Rhinolophus ferrumequinum: one gene and its partner. The protein of the gene in region 1 purifies or fractionates together with the protein of each later gene. This does not show direct contact. Links are inferred from orthologs where the notes say so. Each region holds a gene or a part of one and is shown on either strand. Other genes may lie near its edges.

Region 1 (8,042 bases):
CAAGAGAGAGGGCAAGCTCCAGTGTACCGGCACACTTCAAGGCTCTGTTTGTATCACCTTTATTAATGTTGCATCGGCCAAAGCAAGTCACATGACTAAGCCCAGATTCAAGGAGTGCAGAAATAGATCCACCTCTTGATGAAAGGAGTCAGATCATAAGAGATGTGGATATAGGAAGGGGAAGAATTTGCAACTGTAATACATATAGGCATCCATTCCCTCTTTTACTATATACATAACTCCAATGTTCATTGGGCATCCACCCCATCCCCAAACTCAGACCTAGACAATCTGAGGCACAGTGATTGGTTCAAGGATGTGCATGTGACCCAAATCTGGCCAATGAGATTCAGCCCTGGTCCTTTTGCTGGGGACTGTTGGAAAGGAGGTACTTTTTGTCTGCTGAAGCAGATGTACTAGTAGAATGTAGACCTTGCTCTTCTGGAGGCCATGTGTGTCATCACGTGGCAGAAAGTCTGCTTGAGCATGAAGCCAGCACTGAGGAAAGCAGATATAGGGCATTAAGAAAGACGGATTGAGAGGAAGGAAAAGAGACTAATCTAATGACACCCGGACCAAGCCACAATATAAACTTCTGGACTTTTCAGTTACATGAGCTAATACATTTCCGTTTTTTGATTAGGCCATTTTGACTTGGCTCTCTAACTCAACACTTGTAACCAAAAGAATCCTGAAACAGACAGCTTCCTCCCTTAAAAGTTTTTCCTCTTTCATCTCAAAGCTCTTCCCATCTGTGGACCTTTATTTGGATGGATATTCTTTGTCCTGTTTACTGTTTGTCACCCTGCCTGGGCATATAGTAAATTCTCAGTAAACACTTGTTAAAAGCATCAGTAGGAGGGGTGAGGACCCCTCCGAAGAAGAGCCTGTGGTGACAGGCACGTAACCAGGCTCAAGGAGAAGCCCCCAGAGGTGGTGGTCTAACAGGCAGGTAGAGCAGGTAATGGACACAGTCTGTGAATTTAAACTAGGCCTCGCTGGCCCGGAGGCTGGGGCTCCAAGGAGGAGGGACTGGTGAGAACAAGGCAGGGTCCAAGCCTAGGAGGACTCAGGATGGGACCTGGTATAGGGATAAAGTAAGGTCTTACTGTGGAGTCCATAGCAAGCATGGGGCCCCAGCACTTCACTTCCTCCCGACTGTAACCAGTTGTCACTGTCCCATGATTGGTACTTCTGCTCTTTCTCCACTGAAACCCTTTCTTCACCCAGCAGCTGGAGTGACACTTTCAAAATGTAAATCAGATCATGTCACCTCCCTGCCTAAAACCCTCCAAGAGCTTCCCCCCGTGCTTATAGCAACATAATAACAATGACAGCTGACACTTGCACTGTGCTTGTTAGGTGCCAGACATGGTTCTAGGCACTTCCTTAATAACTCACTTAATTCTCAAGTATTATCACCCCCATTTTACAGAAGAGAAAATTGAGGTACTGAGAGATTCAATAACTTGTCAGAGTTAACATGGATTAAAATCCAAACTCTTTATCAAGGCCTGGAACTCTCTACCCCTAGGTCTTTGCATGGCTGCCTCTATCTTATCAGTTGGGTCCTAGCACAAATGTCACCTTCTCAGGGAGGGCTTCTCAGATCATCCAATTTATAATGTCTTCCCACTCTCTATTATATCATCCCCTTTTGTTTTCACATCACTTACCACTGTACTAAATTATTTCTTCATTTTCTTACAAAATGACTTGTTTCTGTCCAGTCCTCATTGTCCCCTCAGGATGTCAGCTCCTTGCGAACCAAGACTCTCTTGTTCACCTTTGTATTCCAAACACCTGGCATAGGTGGATAGCACCTCAGTGAACATTTGTTAAAATGGACGGAGGAGAAGAGGAAGGGAGGAAAAAAGGGATAAGGCTTGAGCCTCCCTCCCATGACTAGAATGAGGATGGGTCCTCAAGGAAGAAAGAATGGAGGACAGAGAGGAAGAGAGACCCTGGAAAGGAACTCAGGGCCTTGGGACTCCTCAAAGATGCAGCCAGGCCAGGCCCCCCACTCAGGTGGGAGAATGTTTCCCTGATTAGGGTTGTCAGACTTCGCAAATAAAACCAAAGGATGCTCAGTTAAATTTGAATTTCAGATAAACAATGAATAGTTTTTAATATAAGTATGTCGTGTGCAATATTTGGGATAACTTACGAGTATATTAAAAAATTACTGGCTATTTATCTGAAACTCAAATTTCCTGGGCATTTTGTTTGTTGTCTGGCAGCCCTATCCCAGATCCTCACTTTGTCCTAAGTGCCACGAGAGATTCCACTGAGTACTAGCCTGCTTTTTTTTAATATGGAACATTTTGTTTTGCTTCTGGATAAGGAAGTACATTCTCTTTATTGGATCTAACAGGAGAATATCCGTGGAAACAGCAGCTTGTTAGAGGGGGTGGAGAAATACCCCCGGGGAAGGCAGGACAGATGCTTGTCCTGACTCGAGGTGGCCCTTCAGACCTGCTTGTGTTTTGTGACTTTGCTTCCTGGGCCCAGAGGTGGGCTTGAGTGAGTGCTGCTGAAAAGAGCAGGAAGAGAATTGCTCAGTCTGGGAGGAAAAGATTTATGGGAATGTGGGCCTTTTCTGGTGATTCACTCATTCATTCAGTCTCTGAGCAGCTGGTGGCAGGAACTCAGAGACGAATAGCCCTGAGTGCTGCCATGGAAGCTCTCCAGACTCGGGGGGATGGCTGTGGACTGCAGGACCAATAAGTGATGCCTGCTTCTGAATCTGTCTTCAGAATGGGAAGAGCGTGTTTCTTTCTGTCATGTCTCTACTTCATTCCCTACTCTTTTTTTCTTTTTTCATTTCTCTTGTCTCACCTTTCAGTCCTTAGTCAACTTAAACCTAATTACCTTGTAACCAACTAGTCCCATAAAGGAACCATTGCTGGTGCACTCAGGTAGGGGACCTGGTCTTCTTCTCAATTCCTTTGCCATCCAACTCAGCCTGGAATTATTTGCACGCCCTTCTCTGATTGGCTGATACAAACCTCCGGCAGCCTCCACCCTTTCCTGCCACTCCTTACCTGCTTGTTGAAGCCCCAATAGGTCCACTATCCTGAGATCCTCAGATCTCTGCACTGCAGCTTTGTCTGCTTAGTTATTCCTTGATAAAGTGTCAATGGGTGGTCCCTTCTAGTGGACTTCAGCACTGACAAGCAGTGTGGTCTTGAATGAATTCCTTTGCCTCTCTGAGACTCAGTTTCCACATCTATAAAATGGGAATAATTCTCATGATTAAGTCCTTATGAGAATATCTGTAGTGGGTAATATGGACTCTTAAGCCAGATGCCCAAGTTCAAATCCTTTTTCTTTCACTTACCAGCAGCGTGCCCTGACCAAGTTTCCTGTTTATTTCCCTTTTCTCATATGGTTGGAGTGAGTCTAAAATAAGTCAATATGTGTAAAAATCACCTAAAACAGTACTTTGCATACAAGTGCCTAATAAATGTCAGCTATTATTGTAATGGATATTAAAGTTCTTTGTCTAAATACTATGTTATGATTATTGCCCAATGAGTATTAGGAAAAAGTCAGTTGAGTACATCTCTGGCTCAGGGGCCAGAGGTTCCTTAGGAAGAGGGCCCAAAAGAGTGAAGCCTTAACTTCTCTGAGCCTCAGTGTCTTCGTCTGTAAAATGGCAATAATAACCTTACCTCTGCCTACTTTACAGGTTAGCTCGAGTGCTTGACCAGTGGTCACTTAGAAAACTATTTGTTGAATGAATGAATGCATGGACCATGTGGGGCAGCAGTGGCAAGCTGCAGGGGTCTGCACCAAGCAATATAACTGTGAAGACTTGCTGCCCATGAGGCCTGCTGCAATGGAGTCCCACCTAAGGCAGTGGATGAGTGCTGAGCTGAGTAGATAGGCTGGGTGGCATGCTGGTCAGCACAGGTACTCTTATACCTGCTTGGTGAACGTGTACCTGTATTGATACAGCCTGTTTAGAAACTCACATAATGCTAGCAATAACAGTTTTAAATGAGCAAATCGACCTAGTAGTTCTATTTACAAGAAATCACCAGATATCCTGGCTCAAGTGTGCCAAGATTTATATAAATAGTATGTTTATTGCCGCTCTTTGCAAGAGTAAAAAATTGGAAACAACCTAAAGGTTTCCTTCATACGAGAGTAGATAAATAAATTGTGGTACCTTTACATTATGGGCTACATGGCTGTTAAAACGAATGAGGTAAAGCTATATGTAGTAACATGGAAAGGTCTCAAGATGTATGGTTAAGTAAAAAAAAAACAGAAAAATTCAAGTTGACAGAGCTATACATTGAATATAACACTTGCAGGGGAAAAAATCCATTTCTATGTATCTGCATAGAAAATATTTGGAAGGCTACACAAAGTTAAGGCAATAAAGAAAAGACTAACTTTATAATTTTAATTTGATAAATGAAAGCGCTCCCGTTTAAAAAGTCCAGAGGCTCTATAATCTGGTCAATGAACTGTGCGACTCAAGGAAACAACTCACTTTTTTGAGCCAAAGCTTCCTTTTGTGTAAACTGACAATGGTACTTCCTACCTCCCGGTACTGTGATGGGGTTAGATGAAATAATACTAGATACAAAAACCCTTTTCAAAGTCAGGGGTTCAGAGACAGATAATTACAGCAATCAGGGAGGGCAACACAAAGAAGGAGGCATTAGCCTAGACCTTGAAAGATCTGGCAAGATCTGGATTTGGTTTGTGTCCTGGCTGTCTTTCCCCAACATTCAACATCCATTTATTAGGGGTCTGGTACAAAACCTGATGTGGACTTTTTAACCATTTACTTCCTGCCGTGGAAGGCAAAGCAGAAGTCCGGCGCGTGCGCAGTACTAGAGCATCGTTGGCTGCGCTCCTCCCTCGTACTACAACTCCCGGCAGACTCCGCGCAGGTTTCGGGCGCGTCGCGGGCTGCTGTCGTAGCGTGGTAGCGCGGGGAATTTCGAGTGGGACTGGAGTGCGGGAGGCTAGTGGGTGGTGGACCCCCCATCCTCCTTAGGGGAGACCATGGACTCACTAGTCGAGCCTCGGTGGCCTCCAGGTCTGGCAGTCATGAAGGTGAGTGCTTCGGGGAGGTTGGGGGCGCCCGGGTGTCATCGGGAGGCCAGTCCCGCCTTGAGGATGAGAAAGGAAGAGGCGGGAGAGGCGAGCTGGGCCTGGGTAACCCGGTTCTGCTCTGCCACTTACCAGCCGCATGGCTCAGGGCCTTAGTTTCCTCCCCGAGAAGGGACGGGGACAGGCCTCGGTCCCTTAGGGTGAGCTGAAGTTGGCTGTCTTATGGAACCGGGTATCCTGCAGTTAAGTCACAACAACAATGACCTCGAGAAAAGCAGTTACTTTAAACAGTGAAAACGACAGTGACAGCCCTTTCTGAGGACTTACTACTACATGCCAAGCATTATGCCAACTCTTTCAGTACATTAGTTGAGAATTTCTGAAAGTGACCCCCGACCTGATTTTGGGTGAACCTTGCATCAAAAAACATTTATTTAATCACCTAGTGAAGCAGGTAATCTTCACATCCTATTGTTACCCTCTAATTACACCCTCTAATTACACCCTCTAATTACCCTCAAGAAGCCTAGTGCTGGTTTGCCCTAACTCCTTCCCAATGAGTCCTAACTCCTAACAGTTGTGCACGTCTCTCTTTTAAACAAAGGGACCAGGACTCAGGCGCAGCACCAGCCTTTCATTTCATTGAATTATTTCTCTTATATAACATTGATTTTTGTGGCTGCTTGGCATTTTGTGGCGGCAAGGCATTTTAGTTTCCATTTACAGTAGTGGTGAGCCCAGGATTCCTGCTGTATTTGGTCAAGAACAAATACACTTTGCTGTGCTAGTTAAGAGTCAATTGCTTGGTGTTTCTCCTTGCTCTGTGATCACTTTCATTTCAAGTTCTCATCCTGTTCTAAAGTTTCGTACACTTGGGGATTATGGCATGTGTCCCACTGATTTATAAGGCTGTCTCTGAGGATTAAGTGAAGAGACTTGGGGGAGGTTAACTAAGTTTGAGACTTTATTCTTCCGTCATCATCAGTGTTATCTACTGTTTTGGGGCCCTTGAGATACAGCCCCACGGTGAAAAGCTGACATTGGGAGGATCTAAGAAAGATGTGGTTTTGAGGTTGTGGTGGCCCTGGCACCGAGGTGAGCATAGATTTGAGTTCTGATGATCCTGGGTTAAATCTGGTCTCTGCCTCTTCCTTAGCTGTGATCTTGAGTCAGTTACTTAATCTCTGAGCATGAATTTCCTCAACTATAAACTGGAGACAAAAATAAACAGTTTATAGGGTTGGTTAAATGAATTGATGTGTGTGGCTAGGGATCCTGTCTGTCTTACTCACTGCGTAACACAGTGTGTGGCACATAGTGGGTGCTCAAAAATTATTTCCTAATTGATTAAAGGTATCTGGAAGGTAGTAAGCATTCAATTAACATATCTTATTAACACTTAGCGTGTGTTAACTGTTTAAACCCCCTTTTTATTTGTTGTGAGGATTGAATGGGATAAAGGAAGTGAGAGCTGTGTAACTTGTAAAGCTACCTGTCTGTAGACTTAAGCAGATTTTATATATTCCCACAACTTCCACTGCGTTCTCTGGAGGCAGGTTCCTTGTCTTTGGCTTTGATACCTCATCACAGCACCGAATTGAGGGTTCAGCACCAGAGAGTATTCAGTGATGGAGTTGATTGAGCCCGTATTAGAATCATGAAATACTAAGGTTGGGAAACCAGCCCCCCTCCAGTCTTTTAATCCCTTTTACATTGTATTTGCCAGTTTGTCATCTAGCTTTTGCTTGAAGTGTGCCAAGGACAAAGAATTAGCTGCTCCCAGAAGTAGCTCTGTTGGAAGTTCTTTCTTATATTGAATAGAAATCTGACTCCAAATCCATGGTTCCTAACAGGATCCATGAAAAGACTTTGGTATCTAGATTATTTATAAAATTTTTGTTTATATGTATGCTTTTCTAAGGAGAGAGTCCATAGTTTTCATCCATTTTTCAAAGGGATCTGTGACCCAAAAGCTTAAGAACCTTTGCTCTAATTATTGGCTTTTTACCCATTCCCTACTTCCCCGTTCCACTTTCTCTAAGTTAAAGAAATCTTGCGGCATCCACTTGACCACTCTCTATTTGGGGTTAGATGCATGTGACGTGTATGCTACTGTCTTGGAATGGCATGATGGGAAATTTGTGCGAGAGTGTTATAGCTCATCTGATGCGGTGACACCTTCCGCGCCACCTTTCGCGCGTCTTGCTCAGCAGATCTGTCAGAACCACTCCTCCCCCAGAAGAGGATGGTTATATAGAAGAAAGTACAATAGACTCGATGCCAGGGCTCTGGCTTCCAGTCCTGCCTTTGCTTTTAATTGATTTTCAACACAGCGCTTTAGCTTTTTGTGTCAGTGGTAACTTATATTCCAAAATAATGGAAGATTTTGGCATTTTAATGTTTATTTCCCTGGTTTAACCATAACAGAAATTTCTAGGTTTAACAGGTTATAAATGTCTGTGTATATAGTAGAAAAAAATTAAAATTCAGGGTAAGGTAAAGGAGTAAGTGAAAGTTACCCATCATCCTACCACCCAGAGATGACCACTGTTTAATATTTTCTCTAATTTTCCTTCAGTTTTTCTTCTGTGGACTCATGTGCACACATACCCAACAATGGATATATGCATTTAAAATTTGAGATTACTTTGGAGTCAACATCTTGGATTTGACCCAATCCCTTTTAGCTCTATAGTCTTCGTCTATAAAACTGGGATACAGATGCTATAGACGTCATAAGATTGTTCCAGAGATTAAACTACATCGTTCTGTTATTATCTGTGGTTGTAGATTTGTTCTCTCTTTTTAAAGTTTTCATTAAAATATGAACATTTTCTCATGGCGTTAATTATTCTTTGAAAGCATGTTCTTTTTTAATGGCTACATAATATTTCATCGTATGGACTATTAGTGACATTAGTCTTTTGTTTGTTTGTTTGTATTTTTAAAATTTAGATAGTACACTCACA
Region 2 (6,977 bases), on another chromosome or scaffold:
TGTCATTTGATGATCCTATAAACGATGTTTTACAATAACCAAACTTTATGTGGCAGGATGGGAGGCGATAGATCAGTGTATCTCAAACTTGACTGCACATTAGAATCACCTGTGGGAACTTTTAAAAATCCCGATGCCCAAGTACTACCACTCGTTACTCAAAAAAACAAAACAAAACAAAACCAACCAACCAAAAAAAAAAACAAAACTCATTTTGGTTGACTCTGTTCCTAACGGATCTCTCTCCAGGGATAATTTCTTGAACCAAAAAAAGGATATTATTTCATCAAAGCTACTTATAACCATGTTAATTGGCAGCTACTGGTATATCTCGAATCACATACCAAATCCTTCTCCCAGTTTTCTTCATACCATATAAATCCCACATTTGATGGCTCTACTTCTTCCTCCCTCTTAACTATCAGTGTCTGTGTAAAATGTAATTATATGCAGTGGTCTGTATGGACCACATGTGGACCATCCTGCATTTCAATGTGAAAAGCCTTTTGCTTGGAATGCTCTTTCACACTTTGCTGACTGTTACTGTCCTGCTCGTCGTCCCCAAACCCTCCATAACCAGGCCTGCTTAGTTCAGGGCTTCTCCTCCTTGATCTCAACTGCTACTTAACCGTTTGACTAATGAAACACTTGAAGGCTGGGCAGGAATAGTATCCTATTCAACACTGTACCTCCAATGCCAAGTCAGTGCCAGGATGGAAATGATATACAAAATAAGGTGAAACAAAGACTCTAACTCCGTGAATATCCTCCCTTTGTTTAAAGACCTAAGAGTACTTTACTCACATTTCTTTTTGGACAAGAGTCTCTTAACCACATTCTAGAAGACTGCAGGTAACGTGAAACTATTCTTTATTATTTCTGGCCCAGAATGAGACAGACAAAACTGACTGACCTGTACCTTTAATAGAAAACAAAGACAGATTGCTAGAAAAATAAACACAAAATGGTAAAGTTAATAAGATAACACAACAAATGATTTTCAATTAAACTTAAATTTAGGTTTTTTCCCCCACCAAACCATAATCTCCTTATTAAAAGCACAAACCCTGAATTACAAATCCATGGTAGACTCGGGCTTGGGCTATTAAAAGCAACAGGAGTATACATTTACATGTATACATCCAACGTGAGCCCTATGTAAGCGAAGCCCAATCATTACATAAAACTTTCAATGATCTAGCAGTACCACAATCCTTTTCCATTGTGGTAACTCCAGCAGGAGAGTATTTTCATCTGTTGAACCCTAAAATACGTTAGTCACAAAAACTTGAAACATGCCCTCATAAGCTTCTTCACCAGCAAATTCTATTTCCTCTAAATCTTTCTAACCTAAACTCTTTATAAAAGATTTATTTTAATAATTCTAAAAGTACAGTTCTTTTAGGCTGAGCAAAAAGTACAGCTGAGCAAAAAGGAAAAAAATATATAAATACATACATACATACATACATATATATCAGGGATGCCAAAAATGTATACAAGTGGACACTTTGGTCAACATTGCTCAAACAGTTCGCCGTCAACAGAAGTGTCTGGATGCTGATGGTAACCACTTTGAGCACCTCTTGTAATTGCAGAAGTCACACATGACTTGTATTCATCTTTTGTCATCAGTATATATTAAATATTACAATTTTAATAGTTTTCCTTTCTTAAAATGTGTATACTTTTTATACTTTTAAAATATATATATATTACATAATCTTTCAAAAGTAAACTATTTTATTTTCAACTGCCAACTTACTAACTGGTCCTGCAAAGCTCTAGGAAGTACAGGCTAAGTAATAAAGGCACACTTATCGCACTACTGCTCACATTTGCTGTTTCCAGCAGTTACAGATCATAAACCAACTAGTCTTTTTGGTGACAATACAGAGCTCCTGGATCATTTCTATTCATGGGAAGTTCACCATTCTTGCTATCACCCAACAGAAATGACTTAAAATTATTTTATTTTGTTCAGTCATAGCCTCAAGTTAATTTAAAAACAAGTTGGAAAACACAAAACATCTAGTATTTCTACCCCGTGCCTAATGTCAAATCACTTAGAAAAAAGACACAAGCTTAAGGGCTACAAGCTTAATAGTCATGATTTAATGATATTGTGTATCTGACGGTGACCGTCAATCATCAGATAACACACGTTCGTTCATAAACCTAGCCACCACCATGGAGTCAAAACGTGCAAGGGTGGTTTTGAATGCAAACGTAATTCATCTGACTCCAAAGGTAACTGAGAACTTTCAGACTAACTTAGAAGCCTCGGCCTCCCCTTTTACTGCATTACAACCTCGCGCACCAAACTAGGAAGCTGCCCATTTCCAGCTTGCAGGGGCGTTATCTGCTGCGAATGGTGATACCCACTCAATTTTCTTCTGAAACGACCCAAAAGCGGTTCCAGAAGTCAGAGCAGAGCTGTCAGCGACGGATCGCTCCCAACAGGCCGGGCAAACAAGCTACCGCGAGGCCGAGGAGCACGACAATAGCCTCTCCGACGCTCCAACAAAACATCGCCGGCCCAGCCCCCGGGGAGAAGCACGTCCTCCTTTCCCACGACCCCACCTTCTCCCGGAGGAGCCGTGGCAGTCCGAGGGCCCGCCCGTCTGGGATGGGGAAGGGTCGGGGAGACTTGTGCTGCGGCTCACTCGCAGCCCTTTAGATTCCCGGGCCCCAGAACAACCAAGTCCTCCTTCCCTGAGACCTCAGTCTCGGTCCGGAGTTGTCTCCCATACCCGACCTCTGACCCCTGACCCTCCATCACCCGAGCGCCTACCTAGACTAGTTCTCCAAGCCTCTTGAGCGTCTCCGCACCAAGGCCCTCTAATGCTCCCGCAGGTCCCGGGCACGCAGTCGCCACCCACCGAATATCCACCTGAGGTGGGCTCGCGCGCTTTACGCTGGTTTGTGTTGGGGTTCCCGGGGGACCCAGAAACCTCAGCTCCTAGCTGCAGGGCGCGCTCTGGAGCGTGGGGTCAAGGTGAACGCGCACGTCGAGTTGCCCCGCCCCCTTTCTCCGGCGGTGGCTTCAAGAGCCTCTTCTACGCAAGTCCACACGGTTAAAGGCCACGAGTGGATGCAGTTGGAATCTCGCGATAGCTCTGTCCACGGCTTTAGAGACTACAGGATTGGCTGGAACCTCTAAAGAGGAGGCGGGCTCTAAGCAGATATTAAATACAGGCGGCTTCCCCGCTGAAGGGGCGGGGTTCCCGTGCAGGAGTGATGGGTTTCGTTTGTGGCCTTAATAAAAAGGCAGAAGAAAATTCTGCGAACGCACGGCTTTTCTTGCTTCTAGAAAGCAGCCATTCATTAGTACGGGTGAAGCTTGTCTTCCTCAAAAAAATTATTTTAAAAAGACTTTCCAGGGAAATAGTAAATTTTTTAAGTTGAGAACAAAACTACATGTATTATACTGAAGGTGGCCTTCAAATACGTTGTCTTTTTTGTCTTCACTGAGAGGTATCCTTTTTCTCATGGAGGTAGTAGGTTGATGCTTAGTTAACTTTGGGATAACTCGGACAGGCTTCAGGGCCAAGAGCCTGTAAAATAATCCCCAGGAAACAGCGGTCACTCAGTGATTAACGACTACCTCCTGAGGACTCAGCCTTATGCTGTGGAGGGGCGTCTTGGCTTGTGTAATCACACAGAAGCACAGAAGTAGGTTTTTGCCTAAGAGAACATCCGTTGTAGTTGGCGGAGACATTCTAGAGACAGCCCATACCCTACTTTGCACAGAACTTCATCATAGACCTCTAAGATAGTAGTCTGAAAGAAGCCATTTACACAAACTAAACCCTATAAAATTCGATGGAAATTAGTTACCTTATCCACGGCTTCACGAGGGAAGTTGAAAAAGTAACGTTCATTGCTGGAGCCGTGGGCAAACAGAGTTCCTCTGCCATGGAGAACTGATAATTTTACTAAGTACAAGACATAATGGAGCCTTTATTTTGGAAGTGTAATTGAAACTCAGTATTTAAACGTATATTGTGCTGTAAAAGGTTATCTTTGATAGTTTGTCACTTCTCACCATTGGAATAGAGATTTAAGCTCACAGTTGCACTGAGTCCAGCTGGTGCCAGGCAGAAATATTTAAAAAATTAAGTACAGCATCATTTCATCTTTGTTCACCTTGATTGGGGTAATTAATCTTTAGATATAATTATTGTTATTCCGTGCAAAATGTTAAACTACAGATCCAGTTGTGTTTGGAGATGTAATTTCAACTACAGAGATGGAATTCTGTACACTATCATTCAGCTGTTACAATTAAACAAAATTCGTCCTCTTGAATTTCCCAGTGGAATGTTCAATCCTGTATTTGCAAAGTGCCCAATATAGTCTTTGAAAAACTTCCCTATGGAGTAACGTTTTTCAATCTTAAAATCACCAGAGCTAATTTTAGGAAACATTGTTCATTTTTGCACCTTAGCTCCCTGGAAGCACCCATCTGTGAAATACCTGTTCACCCTGACAACTCTGAGTTCATCCACCTATTGGATGCTAATGATCTAATAGTATTCCACAAGTAGGAGTTAATTGATTGCATATAAACCAATCAGTGAATGACTCAGTGTCGATAGAGTTCAGCTGATTCTTCTTAGAATTGCAAATGTAATGGCAGTCAGACCACTTGCTTCCTTGTGTGGTTCCTTGTTTCAAAGTCTATAGTTTGTTCTGTCTCCCCTGCTGCAAGCTTAGCCTGCAAACTGAAAACTCAATCTGTGTCCCTTCTGCATCTCATAATTTGCAAAGCAAAATTTGTAATCTCTACCCAGAATGTTGCATCGAACATGAATTTATGACATAAGGAGAAGGGAGTTCACCATTTCTTTCTAAGTGTTTGTTTTGGATGTTAATAAAGCAATCCTTGTAAATTAGGTACAAACAAGGATAAAATTGAAGCTGAGTCTGTTGGGTAAAGAAAGATGTGAGATTATATGCAGTGTTTCTCAATGAAGGTAACATAATCTGTATCATGGATCTCCTCCCCACCCTCCCCTGCCTCCATTCCCAAATATTACTTTTTCTACTGACATTGTTTTCCAACTAATTTTGTCAGTATGGCTTCTGTATTAAGGAATAGGAATTTGTAGATGAGTCACCTGATGCTTATGACTTAAGTAATATTTATTCTGCAGTTTTGAGAAAAATACAAGTAAAATGTTTTTTTGAATATTTTAAGGATCTCTATCATGTGTCATTTTAAAGTACAAAAACAGTGATGTAACACTTTGAGAATGAGTCTAAAATCTCAAGGAAGCTTAGTCATACAACAATAGAATACAATGATGATTGCCAGAGAATAAAGAACCTTCCCAAAGCTTCCATCCACTAGAAAGGCAGCTCCATGTTCAGGTATCAGCCTTGGTGTATTGTTTAGGTCAAGTCTTAGGACAATGGCGAAATTAGATCTCAGTTCCACTTTCTTTAAACCCTGTTAAGTTTCTACTTTTTTTTTTTTTTTTAAGGAGGGCACACAGTTCACAGTGGCCCATGCGGAGATCAAACCGCCAACCTTGGTGTTATTAGCACCACGCTCTAACCAACTGAGCTAACTGGCCACCCCTAAAACCTGTTAAGTTTCTGAATTCCTCTTTAGGCCCTTAAATAAACTTAAATGCTTACATACCTTACATATTATGCAGTAGTACCAGATAATGATCAATTGTGTACATAGGCCATAACAGCCCCATCTCGACTATTAGCTCCTGAGATTTATCTTGTTAAAAACAAACCAAACTATCCAACCATCCCAGGTAACTCTAATGAAACAAATTTAAAGATAGATATTTGGGAACCACTCGAGCAGATGATCTCCAGTTTATGACCTAATTGATTAAAAAGCAAGCTCATATAAAGCAAGCTCATATAAATCAAACCCTTATTTTCTATAGCAACAATGTTATAAGCTGGGGCTCCAATCCTGGAAACCCATTTCATACCTTCTAAATAACAAAACTACTCTTAGAGAAATTAACTTAAAATGGATTACAGACCTAATATAAAATGTAAAACTATTAAACTCCTAGAGGACAACATAGGAGAAAATCTATATGACCTTGTATATGGTGATAATGTTTTAGATACAACATCAAAGCCATGATCCATGAAAGAAATAATTGATAAGCTCGACATCATTGAAATTGAAATCTTCTGCTCTGAAAACTATAATATCAAAAGAGGAGACAAACCACAGACTGGGAGAAAATATTTGCAAAAGACAAATCAGATAAAGGACTGTAACTACAATAATTAGTTAAGGGATACACGATAAAACAATGTAAGATGTGACATCAAAAACATAAAATGTGTCGGGGAGAGAAAAATGTAGAGCTTTAGAATGCAATCAAACTTAAGTTTTTGTCAATACTTGCAATAGATTGTTATAGATATAAATTGTTATTTGTAAGCCTGCTGCTAACCACAAAGCAGAAACCTACAGTAGATACATAAAGATAAAGAGAAAGGCATCTAAGCATGAAGCTAAAGAAAGTCATCCAATCACAAAGGAAGAGAACAAAAGAAGAAATAGAGAGGAACTACAAAATGCCAGAAAACAATTAACAAAATAACAATAAGTACATATATATCAATAATAACTTTAAATGTAACTGCACTAAATTCTCCTATTAAAAGATGTAGAGTGGCTGAATGGATTAAAAAAACAACACCCATTTGTATGCTGCCTAACAGAGACTCACTTCAGATGTAAAGAAACACACAGCCTGAAAGTGAAGGGATGGAAAAAGATATTCTATGCTAACGGAAACCAAAAGACAGCTGAGGTAGCTATACTTATATCAGACAATATAGACTTTAAAACAAAGATTGTAATAAGAGACAAAGAAGAACATTACATAAAGATAAAGGGATCAATCCAATAAAGGGATATAACATTTGTAAATATTTATGTACCCAACATAGGACCACATAAATATATAAATCAAATATTAAGA

Evidence for each region. Proteins that work in one complex are often made in the same cells at the same time.
Region 2: the proteins of RAD18 (region 1) and SHPRH purify together in Homo sapiens (affinity purification with western blotting; 3 studies listed by BioGRID and IntAct, with this or other methods). This does not show direct contact. The link is inferred for Rhinolophus ferrumequinum from reciprocal best matches to the Homo sapiens genes RAD18 and SHPRH.

What each region holds. Positions count from the first base shown.
Region 1 is NC_046300.1:44,744,869-44,752,910, forward strand, and holds the start of RAD18 (E3 ubiquitin-protein ligase RAD18), read left to right. Parts: upstream 1-4,943; 5' UTR 4,944-5,025; coding exon 5,026-5,076; intron 5,077-8,042. UniProt on the Homo sapiens protein: E3 ubiquitin-protein ligase involved in postreplication repair of UV-damaged DNA. Postreplication repair functions in gap-filling of a daughter strand on replication of damaged DNA.
Region 2 is NC_046286.1:90,089,618-90,096,594, forward strand, and holds the start of SHPRH (E3 ubiquitin-protein ligase SHPRH), read right to left. Parts: upstream 3,018-6,977; 5' UTR 2,795-3,017; intron 1-2,794. UniProt on the Homo sapiens protein: E3 ubiquitin-protein ligase involved in DNA repair.